3 linked regions of the Drosophila melanogaster genome follow. The protein of the gene in region 1 interacts with the protein of each later gene in a pairwise test. Each region holds a gene or a part of one and is shown in the gene's direction. Other genes may lie near its edges.

Region 1 (5,374 bases):
GTGCCACCTGTTCCAGCCAAAGGTTAGACTTTCGAAAGAAGTCCACCGCCTGCGGAGTATTGGTGTTCTGCTCGTTGCCAATGCCCAGATTGTAGTTTTTGTTCGAGCCCCACACTAGGACATCGTTTCTATGGGAAGATACATAAGTTAAGTGTGTGAAATCAACAGCGTCCTGCACCCCACTCACTGTGAATCCGTGGCGAGGTCATCGTCATCGCACTTCCGGCAGATTGCCTGCAGTGGACACCTTGTGTCCTCGTCCAGCAGTTCCAAACTGGCCCCGTAACGAAGCAGCAGTACGGCGCAATCTATAGAGCCGTAGTAGAGGGCTCTGTGTAACGGACTGCTTCCCGATTCGTAGTCCTGGCCATTGATGTAGGCTCCGTGGTTCAGCAGCCACTCCAAAATCTCGTACCTGGCCGTGGAGGCGGACATGTGCACCGCCGAGCGGCCCTAGAATTTCGAGATGAAGATAACATATGAATTGCCTTCTACGGCTTGTCTAATTTCACCACGCACCAGATCGTCTAAAATATTGGCGAAGTTTCCGCAAGTCTTGAAAATAAAAGACGCCAGCTTCTGGTTGTCAATGGAGCGCTTTGTCAGCGCGGCGGTGATGGCGTTTCCATGCTGGCGGAGTCTGCACTTGGCGGTGCAATCGTATTCCTGCGTCCTGGCGGCTGACATCGGATATTTTAAAAATAAACGCCGGGATATTACGTTTTTTACGTGGATTATTTTGTTTTGCTCGGAGTGCAGTGTGACCAGGTGGGAGACCCAACCTAACCCAACCAATTTAATTCAACTGTAATGTGGCGCTTCATTTAAAATGCAATAGAATTTTCATAATTTATAGCTATCTTTATATAATTTCATTTATACTTTTTATATTACACTACTTCTTTCTTATCACTTTTTTTCTTTTAACCATTAAATACACACCATTATACGCTGGTGTTTAAAAAACTTTTGATTTACAAAATTAATTATTTTTGTTTACATTAATCAAGAAAATTACTTATAGATGCCTTATCATCAATCGGTAAGATTGAATAAAGGCAAAATATTAAATGTAACTTAATAAATACAAGAGACAACATTTACTTTCATAATATTCAGACTTATCTACAGCTTAGTTTACTTATACATAACTATGTTATACGTATTTTATTTTTAATTCTCGCCTTTTAAGTATGGCAAGGTTTTCGTTGCCACCCCGGTACCTAACGATGGATCTTCCTGTCACTGAGATAGCCCCATTCCTCCGAATTATGGAGTACACACAGACTTCCTTTGGAGCTTGACTTCTGTGTGGTCTATCAAAGTTACGGACGCGTGGCCTCGATGTTGGTTTAGGATCATATTTACTGGAATATGATATATCCAAAGATGGAAACTCCTGTTGTTTGATGGGACTGATAAAATTTCTAATCAACGGCTGCAAAGCCTGTTCCCTTTTAGTTGATGTTAGTTCTTCAGCATGTTTTGTCACCGGGACTTTCGGCTCAGTTGGTATGATTGGCTTGCAGGGGCGAAGTTTTCCCTAAATGAACAGAAACCTTGTAATACTTACAATACTTAAGCACACTGCTTATTTACCGAACAACAATGCAGTTTCCGGGCTTTTTCCGTGTCTGCAATAAGAAAGCCGCACTTGCACTCCGCATATCCATAAATCCTGTACAAAGGACCTCGTCTCTTGATGCTGAAGCACTTCTTGATGTGGGCGAAGCGATTTTTGAACGATACCATGGATATTCCACAACCTGGACACTCGACCATTTCCACAAGCTCTCCAATGGTGTACCAAATGGTTTCCCTGCTTCCATTGGAGCCTTCTTCGCTCGCCTAAGGATACGAAGGACTTAGAAGTTGTTTTCACTCAGTTTATAGTAGTCTTACCACATCTTTCCCCAAATCCGACATTCTGGAATTCGTATATTCTGCAAATAAGAAAGTAAAACGTAAACAAATGGTCGATTCGTTTATTTCATAGTATGTACTATTTCTCACCCTGTCGTTGTATTGTATTGATTAAGAATGGTTTTCTTTGATAATTTATGATGGAATAACTCAATCCCACTGCATTAGCAGGTCATTTTTCTTTGATATTGTAAATAATAACAATAACTTTTAATGCACAACGATTAGAGTGACCAAAATCCGATTTGATATCGCCTATCGTTATCGGCAGTGTTGGTAAAGGCCCCGCAGCTTGCACTGCTATTGTGAACTGCAAAACAGCTGGCGTTTTGATTGCACTGCGGCTTTAAACAAATTAGTAAAGTAAATAAAAACTGCATTTTACGCCCAAACACTTAAATGGCTTTTTATTATCTGTAACAAAGTCTACAAATCGCAATGGGTAAGCCAGCGGCAGTAAAGGAATCGGCTGGACCGCATCGAATTTCCCCCTAAAGCTGGTGGTCCTAATTGTAAACTTTTTCTTTATCTATCTTAATAGATTCCTCTCCTAGCTGTTTACTCTGCATGTGCGAGTATCCGGCCATGATGGGGGACTATATAGATGTACACTCCGCGCGCGGCGACCAATTGGAGGTGACTACGATCGTCAACCAGCACTTCCCCGTCCAGATCTCCAAGGAAAGCGACGAAAGGATATGCGGCCGCTGCTGGAAAATCGTCTCAGACTTCCACACTTTACACGAGTTCGTCAGTGCAGCGCAGAGCTCTTTACAGGAAACAAAAGTGGCGCTCATGGAGGATGATCCCCTAACACAGGAAACTACGTCCTTTCCGGAGATTATAAAACTGGCTACTCAGGAGGAGGAAGGGGTGACGGAACCACAGGAACTTGGCGGTCGGAACTTCTTTTACCCAGAGATTAAGATTGAGGAACATGAATTGGATACTCTTCCCCGCATCGAGATCCTAGAGAGATCGGCCAACACCCAGGAAAACCAGGACCAACTTGAGGGTGCAGCCAGACGCCTTAGGAAGCGTTTGAAGGCAGAGGATGGATCAAGTGTTGACAAGGATAAGGACGAGGATGGAGTAGAAGAGACTGCAGAACCTGCGCCGCCTAAAAAGCGACGTGGTCGCCCAAGGAAATCAGACGCTGCCGTTGCCCCGCCCCAAAAACCTAAAGAAGACATTCAACTTGACCTTAAGGCAGAAGAGCTTGACGAGTTCGTAGATGAGGAGACGGACCCTGACTTCTCATGCCTGGTGCCTAGCGATAACTCCTCCGAGGACGATGGAGGCAGCGATGGCTTCGACTCAGACTCAGACTTTGAACTGGACAATGGAAAGCAAGAGTTTGCCGTGCTGCCAAAAAGAACAGTAGTACGCCCCAAGAAATACAAGAAGCGGACGAAACCGGCGGAGCCGAAAGTCCGCATGTCCCGCGAACTGCTGGAGCAGCGCAAAAAGCAGCAGGAAGAATACGACGTCATCATCGCCAAGTTCTTTACCAGCGTGCTGCCGTGTGCCATCTGCAATCTGCTGGTGCACAACTTCACCGAGATGCAGCGTCATCACCGACTGACCCATCAAGTGGATCCCGGCTACATGATGTGCTGCGGCCGCAAGTTCACGCAGCGCAAAGTGCTGGCCGAGCATGTACTCGTCCACTGGAATCCTGATCACTTTAAGTGCAGCGTCTGTGAGAAGTCATTCCAAAATTCCCGTCACCTGGAGTCGCACCAGCAGGTTCACATGGATCCCGCCGTTAAGCTTACGTTTAGCTGCGACCTCTGCTCGAAGACCTTCCTTAGCAAGACGGCCATAGACTACCACAAGCTTAACAAGCATGTGCCCAAGTCCGAGTTCAAGTTCACCTGTTCCGAGTGCAACAAAAAGTGGGTTTATACTTTAAGCGTCTGTATGTCTTTTTCACCTTTTGTTTACTATTCCGCAATAGATTTCTCACCGAGCGCAAGCTGAAAAACCACATGAGCTCTATGCATGACCCAGAGAGTACCATAATCTGCGACAAGTGCGGCAAGCAGATGCGCACCAAGATCATCCTGAAGAAGCACCAGGAGCTGATGCACTCGGATAAGCCACGTCCGGAACCGGAGCTACAGCAGTGCCAGATATGCGGCGCTTGGCTAAAGGGCATGACCGGCCTGAAGCAGCACATGAAGAGCATACACGTAGAGAGTGCCGGCGAGCATCGCTGCCATATATGCGCTAAGGTGTCCCCAAATGCAAGGGCTCTCCGGCGTCACATCTACCACAATCACGAGTGCGAGCGCAAGTTTAAGTGCACCATGTGCGAAAAGGCTTTCAAGCGGCCGCAGGAACTCAAGGTGAGTTTGAAACTCATGACCAGTTGATGTTAATTGATAAACTTGTATAACCCCTCTTGTAGGAACACACATCCACTCATACGGGTGAAGTACTCTACACCTGTCCCAACTGCCCGATGACATTCTTCTGCTCCGCCAACATGTACAAGCATCGCCAGCGATTGCATCGCGCCCAATACGAGGCGGACAAAAACCAACCCAAGCCACCCAACATCCTGAAGATTTCGCGCAACGCCTCGACGCAAAACAAGCCGAAACAGGAAATCTAGCACCGAAAGAGAATTGCTTAAAATATTCGAACGCCTTTCTTCACTTTCACAGAATTAGTTCGAGTCAAATTCAAATTGCCCAATATTATAAATTATGACACATTCGCACAACAGTTTTTAATTATTTGTCTATAAAACGTAAAGTTAAACGTATTGTATAAACAATCTCTTTCGAATGAAATCTGTGAAAGTTGATATTCAAAGGGCGTTTTGTACCTTAGTCCTAAGCTGAAAGTATTTAATAATAAATGCGAACTGGACTCTGCTCCGATCCAAATAATTGATAACAAAACAAAGTTGGGAATGTCTTTCTTTCTTTATAATTATTTACAAGGATGGCTTAATTGCACCTTATATAACGCAATGACATTTACATGGTTTCATTCGTTTCATTTTTACACATAGTATGCATAACTTTAAAATATTTATATATAGATACTGTATCTCTCTCACGTTTCGCCTACAACTCGGTACACAATTTTCGATTTAGCAATAGGAATTATTGAAAAACTTTACATACGCATAGAATATTATTGTTCTCATGTGGTAGACTCTCAATCGCTGATGATGGTTTTTCTTTTTTTGGGTTTTTATTGGGTTAACGCACACGCGGGGTTAAACAAACAGGCTCGAGCGGATCTTCTCAGCGATTAATGTATGCAAACAGCGCGCAGATTTTTTTGCTTATAGATTTTCGATCGATATCTCTAGGCAACATTTATATAAATACAATACTTCCGTTGGTTATTAGTTTGTCTTTAGTCGAAACGTACCATAGCATCGGAAATTTGTTAGCACAATTAGCTCCGTGAACGTTTCAGTTTGCGATTT
Region 2 (3,313 bases), on another chromosome or scaffold:
ACATTTCTTGTTACTTGAATATTCTTTTTTTTTGGTGCACAAATCGTAAGATGAAGTTCGTTTGTTTTTGAAAACCAAGCCAACGGACGCCGTCTAATGGCTGGAATAGAAATGAATGCAAATTTTCAAACTATTTTTACCCGGAATCCCTCGCTTTTGAACTTCGATTTAGCCATTAAAGTGGGTACACTTCATGGCAGCTGTCTGTCTTACTGTTTGACAGTATCGAAGGCACTTCATATCCAATTTCAGGCTATTGACACAATGAAGCACCCTTGAGTAGTACTCCGCTGGCTTGGAAGAACATAAAACGAACTAAATAAATAAACTGGAAACCTCATTTGGAGCCATAAAAACGAACTTTCGAATGCAAACCCACAGTTGAAGTCGTGTTTTGCCCCTTTTCCAATCAGCCCCATTGAAAAGTTTAGCGACAATGAAATCCTCCGAATGCTGGATACGACCCCCCGGGGAATCAGACCTCCGAATTCCCATCAAAGGATTACCTCAGTCTGTCAGCGCATTCCATTCTAAGCCTTGGACGCTGTCCTGTTGCCACGCGGCTAAATACTTGCCCGAATTGGGGGAATGCCTTTCATCTCCATAGCATCAAAATCTTAGAGAGATTCCGATTGGGAGCAAAAAGCCGGCGTAATTATCCGCGCAGGTGCACTGAACCCTATTCAGCAGGAGAGCGGAATACGCAGCAGGACTCCCAGAGAGTCACTTATAAACAAAAACAAATGCATGCAACAGATTGGAGGAGACTAACGGCATAAATGCTATTTCGGTTGAATAACTTAAATAATAAATGATTTGACATTGAATACAACTAAGCAGAACATTTTTTAAATATATATAACCTTAGAGAATTTCTAATTAACAAAACTAAAAAACTTAAAATTTAAAAGAACTTTGTGACAGGTTTAAAAACCGAGTTGCTAACCGGTTATTTTCCGAAAACGGTTCGTGTCACGGCTGTCTCGAAAGCACTGTGTATAATATTCAAGACATCCACCAGCAGCACATAACCGTTTCGAGGGTTGGAGTAGTAACTAAGAATTCTCTTTGACATAAGTTAATAATATTCTAATATGCTAATATTAGGATTCTAATAATATTCTAATATTCTGGAATGCTTGTTCTCTTTGCCACAGTCAAGAACTGCACAGCTATTTTTGAATTTATACAATATGTTATTATGGTAAAAAATAAATTAAAAATTTGTATTCCTATACCAAAATATACGTAAACCGGTTATTTGAGCGTGCTAAGTATTAGTCTTAATCCAGTTCAATTCATTTGGTTAGCTATAGGTAACAATAGATTATTATCAAAAAATCTGCAAATTGGTTAAAAAAAAATAATTTTTTTATTCAGTACGATATGCCTGATCTAATCAGATTTGAAAGTCAGAACATCAGATTTCACCTCAACAACCCCCCAGCAAGGACGACCAATCGGATCGCACCAAACTGTTGCCAATCCAAAATGGCCTCTAAGCAGATGCTGCCATCCGCCGGGGAGGAAAATCCAATAAGCAAAATTCGGAACAGCACCGAGCTGACTTCGCAGCCCGTGAGGACAATCAGAATTTATTGCAACACAGTCTTCCAAGCAGAACAGACCCAAGGTCTTCCAATTGCAGTATCATCCAATACAATAGACAGTCATGCAGCATCCACATCCCATTGACCAGCCCACCTACATGCCGGATGTTCCATTCCAGCCGCTTTGGGGTCAGGAGGCTCCACCGCCGCCCATTGTTCCATACCAAGAGCTCATCGCCGGTTTTCCCTGCACCGACTTGTGTAAGTACCTCAAACGGAATTTGGAATTTGGAATGGAAGTGCTTAAGATGTTTTTCTATTCTAAAGCTCTGTGGCAGCGCTCGCAAGTAACTCCTTTGGTGCCCCAGCGTCCGTCGACAAATGGGAGGGCCAACGGCTCCTCCAGCTCCTCGAAGAAAACGCGTCGCCGTGTGGCATCAATGGCCCAACGGAGAGCTGCAAATATCCGCGAACGCCGTCGCATGTTTAACCTAAACGAGGCCTTCGACAAGTTGCGCCGCAAGGTGCCCACCTTCGCCTACGAGAAACGACTGTCCCGCATCGAAACCCTTCGCTTGGCCATCACCTACATCGGATTCATGGCTGAGCTGCTGAGCGGCACGCCCTCGAACTCCCACAAATCGCGGTCCGACGTCTATGGGAGTATGAATGGTCACCATCAGGCGCCACCACCGGCAATTCATCCACATCATCTGCATCCGGCGGCGGCATATCAACGCGATTTCGCTTCGCCCTATAATCATAGTTTGTCCTAGTGACATTTCTCAGGAAATCCAATATTCAAATAAATGCTAAAACTGCTTCTCGTCAGATCAGTTTTGTTAAAATATTGTAATTATAGGAATAGATAAATAATGTTTTCTTAAAACTTTATATATTGTTTAAAAAGCAATAGAAATATTAAAAAATATTAAAAAGAAAGAAATTTATTGTTTCAAATGTAATTTCTTTAAAAAGTGAATTATGACTGGTCACATGAACATCAAGAATTTATATTCATGGGAGCAATTAAATTAGCCAGAACATTGAATTTTTGCACTTAAATGGATACTGTAAAAAGATATTTTTTGTATTGCAGTTATTATTATTATTATTTGTGATAGAAAAGGAAAAGGAGAGGACAATTAAACAAAATCAGTGGATAATCCAATTTAGTTTTCGAAATGGTAAACAAAGTGATTGTCTAAACTGGGTGGTGACTTTAAAGCCAAAAGTACCACCGAAGTACACCTGATAATCCCCCTAAGTAGAACCCGCACTTGTTTTAAAAAAAAAAACCCAGCCAAAACCAAAGCGAACCATGTCGTGATTTGCGTGCGAATTTGTGCAGCTGGAAAGGCAACACATGCCCAGGTCCATTCGGTGGTCCCAATGAAGTCACATTGCATACAAATCACGAATGGAAAGAAAACTATTATACAAAATTTGACAAGGCAAACAAAGCGTGAAATTATTATTAATAAATTGATGCACTCGGAGGGGAGATGCCAAAAGGGAGGACGGCAGTTCAAAGTCAATTGTAGCAACCCCTAACCAAGGACAACCCAGGAACAAGTGTAACACTTGAGGGATTCCCCGCAACCGGGCTAAATACCAAGGAATTTTTGCGTTCAACGCCCATCGCGAACAGATTAGCGCCCTTTTTTCCGGGCAGCAAATTAATTCGGAACGGATATTGCATGGACATTGGGATCGGAAGTCGGAAAGTGGGCTGCTACCTGGGGGTTGACTGCGTCCCTTGT
Region 3 (5,287 bases), on another chromosome or scaffold:
CAATTCCGCGTACTGTTAATTCATTCTAAGCGAATGTATAACGATAAACAAAAGCAAAGGATGTGAGGATTTGAATCAAAGGCATAGTAAAGTATTTTGGATGGAATTGATTATCAATCAAGGGCTAACTTTAAAAAAAAAATATCTTTGACAAATTATTGGGCCAAGTCCGTCTTTGTATAGTGAAAACAAGTAACATAGTTTCCGACATACAAGCTATGCTTGATTTTTGAATCGGATTGGGTCACTACTTGTCCTCCGGCGAGGCGGAGGTGGCCATTTTGGCGAAAGACCGCGGCGGAGTGGGGCTGCGTTTCTGCAGGGTACGCATGCCGAGCGAGTAAGCCGCCGTGTCCCCCGAAGCGGTGTCCGTATCCGAGTACTCGTCATCGCTCTCGCTGGCATGTCCTGCATCCGTCTCGTACGGATCCACCTCCTTCTGATACACGTTGCTCATTTGATCCGTAAACACATCCGAAGCGACGACCCCGCCGTCGTGTTGATCCTCGTTCTCATAAAAGAAGTACGACAACTGCAGGTGCTCCTCCGCACAGTTCGTGCTCAAGGCGTCCGGAATCAAGTGGCCATTCGTCTCGAGGCGCTTCTGAATCTTTAGGAACATGTTCGGTGATACATCCATTTGGGGCAGCGTCTGCTGCGCCTGCCACTTCTCCAGCAGCGGCGGATTGGCTCCAAAAACGCCGTAGTACAGCTTGCAGGCGCGAAAGCAGCGTAGTCGGTTCGAATTTGGGCGAATGCGACGCAGCACACGCAGCTGTGACTCCACCACGTGCAAAAACATGTATTGCTGATTTCGGTTGGGCAGCGAGGTGACCAGCACCGCACGACTGGTGTTCAAACAGAGCTGAGGCAACGGTTGAGGCCACAGCGAGTGCAGCAGACGCTTGAAAAGCTGCGTTAGCGTGGAGTTTTGGAAGAAGTGGCGATCGGGGGCATTTGTCGCCGCTCCTGCGGGACGCCAACGTACTGCATCAGCCCAGATGCGAGCGGCGGCGCCATCGAACATGGTCAGCCCCAAATAACGCATGCAGCGCTGGCAGTACAAGTGATCGTCGCGATTGAGCATGCACGAACTTTCTTCGTTAAAGTTGATGACCACATAGTTGAGGCCATAGAAAAGATCCGTTTCGGCGGGCACTAAGCTAATTGGTTGGGTCTTGCCCGCTGGTCCATGATTGTGGCAAAAGAACTCAGTGGGATCCACCAAGAGGCTGGGAAACTCCCTCAACCTGCGATAGCTTCGGCCTGCCACCAATTCCGCTCGGCAATCACGACAGTTGATAGTGATGGGCTCGTTCTCCTGGCAGGAGAGGAGTAGTGGCGCCAGAGGCACGTCCACAGCGCTTCCATCCACGCTGGCCAGATCAATCTGGTTGTAGTTGAAGCGGAAACTGATGTTCCTGCCACTGACCAAGAACGTGGACAGGCAGACAATGTCCATACCATACTGCGCGTGCCGGATGAGCATCAGCTTGTCGGAGTCCTCGCTGTCGCTTTCGGAGCTGGAATCCAAGTCGATTGCCTGATTCTTAGGTTTCTCGCTGATATAAACATTGTAGTCGCGGACGACGACGCGAGTCTTCTGGCTCTGCGAAACCTGTTGGTCGAATCGCAGGAAGACCACGCCGCTGCGTAGGTTCGGGCGCAGTTCGATGCACAGCCCGGCGATGGGCATCTTGACCAGTTCCTGGGAAAGCGCGAGAAGATTGTGAACACCACCAACAAAATGGGCCTATCGTTACTTATGGTTTTTCGATATTAAGAGCGTCACTCGACAAAAACTATCGATTGTCAAGAATGAATGTCAGTGTGACCGTCATTTGAAAACTGGGAAATCGTACGCGGAAAACCGATACTATTGACCTTATCGAATATTCAGCCGAAAATGATCGAAAACCCATATCGAGTGTGTGAGCACTATCGCTGACCACTAACACCAACAACGTTTAGGAGCAAAAGAGTCGACGATGCGATGGGTAAAAACAAAGCCCCGTGTAAAAGTGTCCGAAAACCGTGCGTAGCATCAAACAAATCGTAACTCGGCCAGCGAATCTAGGTGCCGTTGTTTTCGGGGACGCGTGTGCAGTGCCGTTTTAAGTGTCGGTAATCGCCAAAATCCACAAAAAATTTAAGGATTTTTTAAAAAAACGTTCGCTAAACGCATTTCGTTCGTTCACTCACACACACACGTAAACCTAACACACGCACAGACGCAGACAAACACAACGCGCAGCGCATATACACACACAAAGAAAAGAAGGCAGTGAAAATCGACAAGCGCACGCATGCACACACACACTGACAAGCACGCAGGCGAAAAAGTGTTGATATATATCCAATATATTGATGTTGTGTGCAACGTTGTTGTTGCTGCTGCTACTGCTGTGTGAGTGAGTGAGGGCGAGCGAGAAAGAGTGAGTGCGGTGCGCGCAGGATAAAGCGAAGATGAGCCACAAAGCGAAGGAGTGAAAAAATAATTAACGGCAAAGCGGACTGCAAAGCGCAGAGCGGATAAAAGAGGAGCGTTAACAACAATAACAACGACTGGGGGTCCCCTGCAAAATCAACAACAACAGCAAGAACCACATCAACAATAATAACAGAAGCAAGAACATCAACAACAAGAACTACAACTACAAATTGGCCCTCTTATTTCGGCAGTCGCATAGCATAGCCCCATCTCGCTCTCTCGTTCGTTGGGGGATACGAAAAAGTTCACATGCAACAACAACGACAACAAACAATAGCAGTCGCAGTCGACGCGGGCAGAGGCAGCGACAGAGACCGCGGCGCACTGAACGTATTTTGTACATATAAACAAAAATAGTTTTTAAACTCCCCAAAATCTAAATCTAAACCTAAAGTTAAGTCTAAAAGGGAAACTTAGAGCCCTAAGCATAAATCTACAGTTAATAAGTTAATTAAAAGCAAGCGAGTCCGGCAGTGTGCTTGAGTTTGAAAGGGGAGAACCGAAGGAGAGGAACACAGCGAGAGAGAAAAGAGGAAGAGAAGAACGCTCAAGAGAAATTCGCCTTTTACACGATTTTAAATTGAGCGTTTGGCAGAGATCCATTATACATATACATCCATCCAAAAAGAGAGGAGAGTAACAGTGAGAGAGACGGAGGAAGAGGAAGCTGAGGAAAACAAACAAACGGGGGAGCAGCTGAAGAAGAAGAACAAGAATCAGCTTCAGCAGTAGAAGGAGCAACTGTAAACACACACAATCTCAGCCTCACGCTGGCGAATCGCAACGGCGGCAACAACAACAGAGGAGGAGGAGGCGGCGGTAACAACAACAACAATGGAGGAGGCGGAGGAGCGGCTGCAGTCGGCGCTGGCGCCGAAGGAGCAGCAGGAGGCGGCGCAGGAGCCGGAGCGGCGGGCAGAGACGCTGCAGGAGCAGCGGCCAACGAATGGAATCCGGAGGAAATGGACCGCTTCAGCTTCGACGACTCCATCCGCTTCGAGGAAGACTCCCTCTGCAGCTGGAGCTCTGAACCGGAATCGCTGTGCAACAACTGGCGCGGCTGGAAGAAGCCCGCTGCAGGCAGCGGCGCAGGCAATGGCGGCTTGAGCGGCATGGGCGGTATGGCTGTGGCCGGCGGCTCAGGAGCACCGCCGTTCGGAGGAGCAGGAGCCTCTGGTTCCTGCACACCGGGCGGCAATGGAACGGCCATGGCCAACACATCCACCTGCGGCAGACATTATGGTGAGTAGCATCTCCTTGTTGCTAGGGCGGGATTTAGGGCAGTGTACCCGGACCATTGAGCATTACACCAGTGAAACTACAGTTGTGAAAATCACAGATACAAATCTAAACTGAAGAGAGCTTCTTAAAATCCGAAAAACATTGTACAACATTGACAGTTTTTAGAGTTCGAAAAGTGTGCGTCCTAAAGATATCAAAAAAGTATCCTCTTTTATTCAGGAATTAAGAAAGACTTTCTCATAAGAAGCTTTCATATGTCGCATACAAAAGATATTGACTTCCTTAATTGTTTTTAAAACCATAAGGCAACCAAAATAGTTTATACCTATAACTTTCCCTTTACAATGAGAAACTTACATGTACATTTTATACAGATTTATATCCGTATAGCGTTAAATAATCAATTACTTGCTACACAATTTACTTTTTAAGCTAAGTAGAGTGATATGCTTTAGTTCTATGTTTTACTAGCTTGGTCGCATTTGGCTATTTGCAATATGGCTACACTGTGCTGCCTGTAATTATACGCATGACCTTTTCGCTTTTGGTAAATTCTGTAAAATTGACTTAGGCACAACAACGAGCAGGCTGTAATTGTTGTTGCCCTCTGTCTGCAATTGTCTTCTTCGTTTCCCCGCATTTCCTCGAAGTCCTCTGCTTATCGCTGAAGTCAAAATCACGACTTTGGCTGCCAACGTTTTTTATTTTCATTCGTTTATACGAGTTTCCTTTTTACCTTTTTGTTGCGTCCCTTTGTCTTTCCCTGTGGCTCATTACGCTTGTGCATGTGGCTGGGGTATTGTTTTTTTTTTTTGTTTCGGGCCTGCCAAGAGACGTTCCTTACACGTTTTCTGTATCCTGTGCGCCGCCGCACAGCACTATCATCATGTAATATCTGGATATCTGGCTGCGACTGCGCAGTTCGTCCTCGTCGCTGTTTCTCTTTCGTATCCTCCATTCGTCTTCGTCATTTGCCCATCCACTGCATTCGTTTGCTTATTTTCCTTTGTTTGACTGAGCAGTGTTGCTGTGGGGGGAAACAGGACTATATTTGGAAGGGTCAAAGGACTAAACAGAGCGGCAAAGCCGCCAAAGAACCTCCAACCATTCAGTTGTCTTCTTTGTGGATTCTTTGATAGCCAGGGTTACCAGCTTGTTGATTTTATTGATATTTATTGATACTAAGCACTAGTATTACAAAATATAGTATATGTACTAGGCAAAACTAGCTGAACTTTGCTCAATCTTAATCATTTTTATCTTTCTGTTATGTTATACAAATCTTTTACTTCCTATAAACAGAGGAGTTAGCCAAATATCTATTTGTTCATATGCTGTTGGTTTGTAAACCTAAAGGACCAATAGATAGTAGCTTAAGCTATTCGATTTTGGCGGGAAAATAGCCAAAGAGCTAGCCCTGCGACTGGGTTTGTGTGTGTGTAGTGGCGAAGCCAGCTGCATTTTCATGCTCGAAAGACATAATAACCGCATCAAAAAACTATATTGCCTCAAAACGATGTCGCTGCTGCCAGCTGAACACGCTGACGTCGACTT

What was found. The genes of interacting proteins can lie anywhere in the genome.
Region 2: the proteins of CG4282 (region 1) and Fer3 interact in a two-hybrid assay, tested with the Drosophila melanogaster proteins (one large-scale study listed by BioGRID).
Region 3: the proteins of CG4282 (region 1) and Dora interact in a two-hybrid assay, tested with the Drosophila melanogaster proteins (one large-scale study listed by BioGRID).

Annotation. Positions count from the first base shown.
Region 1 is NT_033778.4:16,319,971-16,325,344, forward strand, and holds CG4282 (uncharacterized protein), read left to right. Parts: upstream 1-2,215; 5' UTR 2,216-2,361; coding exon 2,362-2,365; intron 2,366-2,464; coding exon 2,465-3,821; intron 3,822-3,883; coding exon 3,884-4,274; intron 4,275-4,336; coding exon 4,337-4,543; 3' UTR 4,544-4,831; downstream 4,832-5,374. Other genes in the region: CG8060 (uncharacterized protein), read right to left, coding at 1-128, 188-453, 520-687; CG30096 (uncharacterized protein), read right to left, coding at 1,157-1,543, 1,600-1,848, 1,903-1,926.
Region 2 is NT_033777.3:11,692,586-11,695,898, reverse strand, and holds Fer3 (48 related 3), read left to right. Parts: upstream 1-1,587; 5' UTR 1,588-1,672; coding exon 1,673-1,811; intron 1,812-1,877; coding exon 1,878-2,326; 3' UTR 2,327-2,489; downstream 2,490-3,313. UniProt on the Drosophila melanogaster protein: Transcription factor that binds to the E-box and functions as inhibitor of transcription. DNA binding requires dimerization with an E protein. Inhibits transcription activation by ASCL1/MASH1 by sequestering E proteins.
Region 3 is NC_004354.4:18,861,987-18,867,273, forward strand, and holds the start of Dora (dorado), read left to right. Parts: upstream 1-1,963; 5' UTR 1,964-3,453; coding exon 3,454-3,733; intron 3,734-5,287. Other genes in the region: CG7326 (uncharacterized protein), read right to left, coding at 248-1,696. UniProt on the Drosophila melanogaster protein: Substrate recognition component of a SCF-like E3 ubiquitin-protein ligase complex that promotes target-directed microRNA degradation (TDMD), a process that mediates degradation of microRNAs (miRNAs).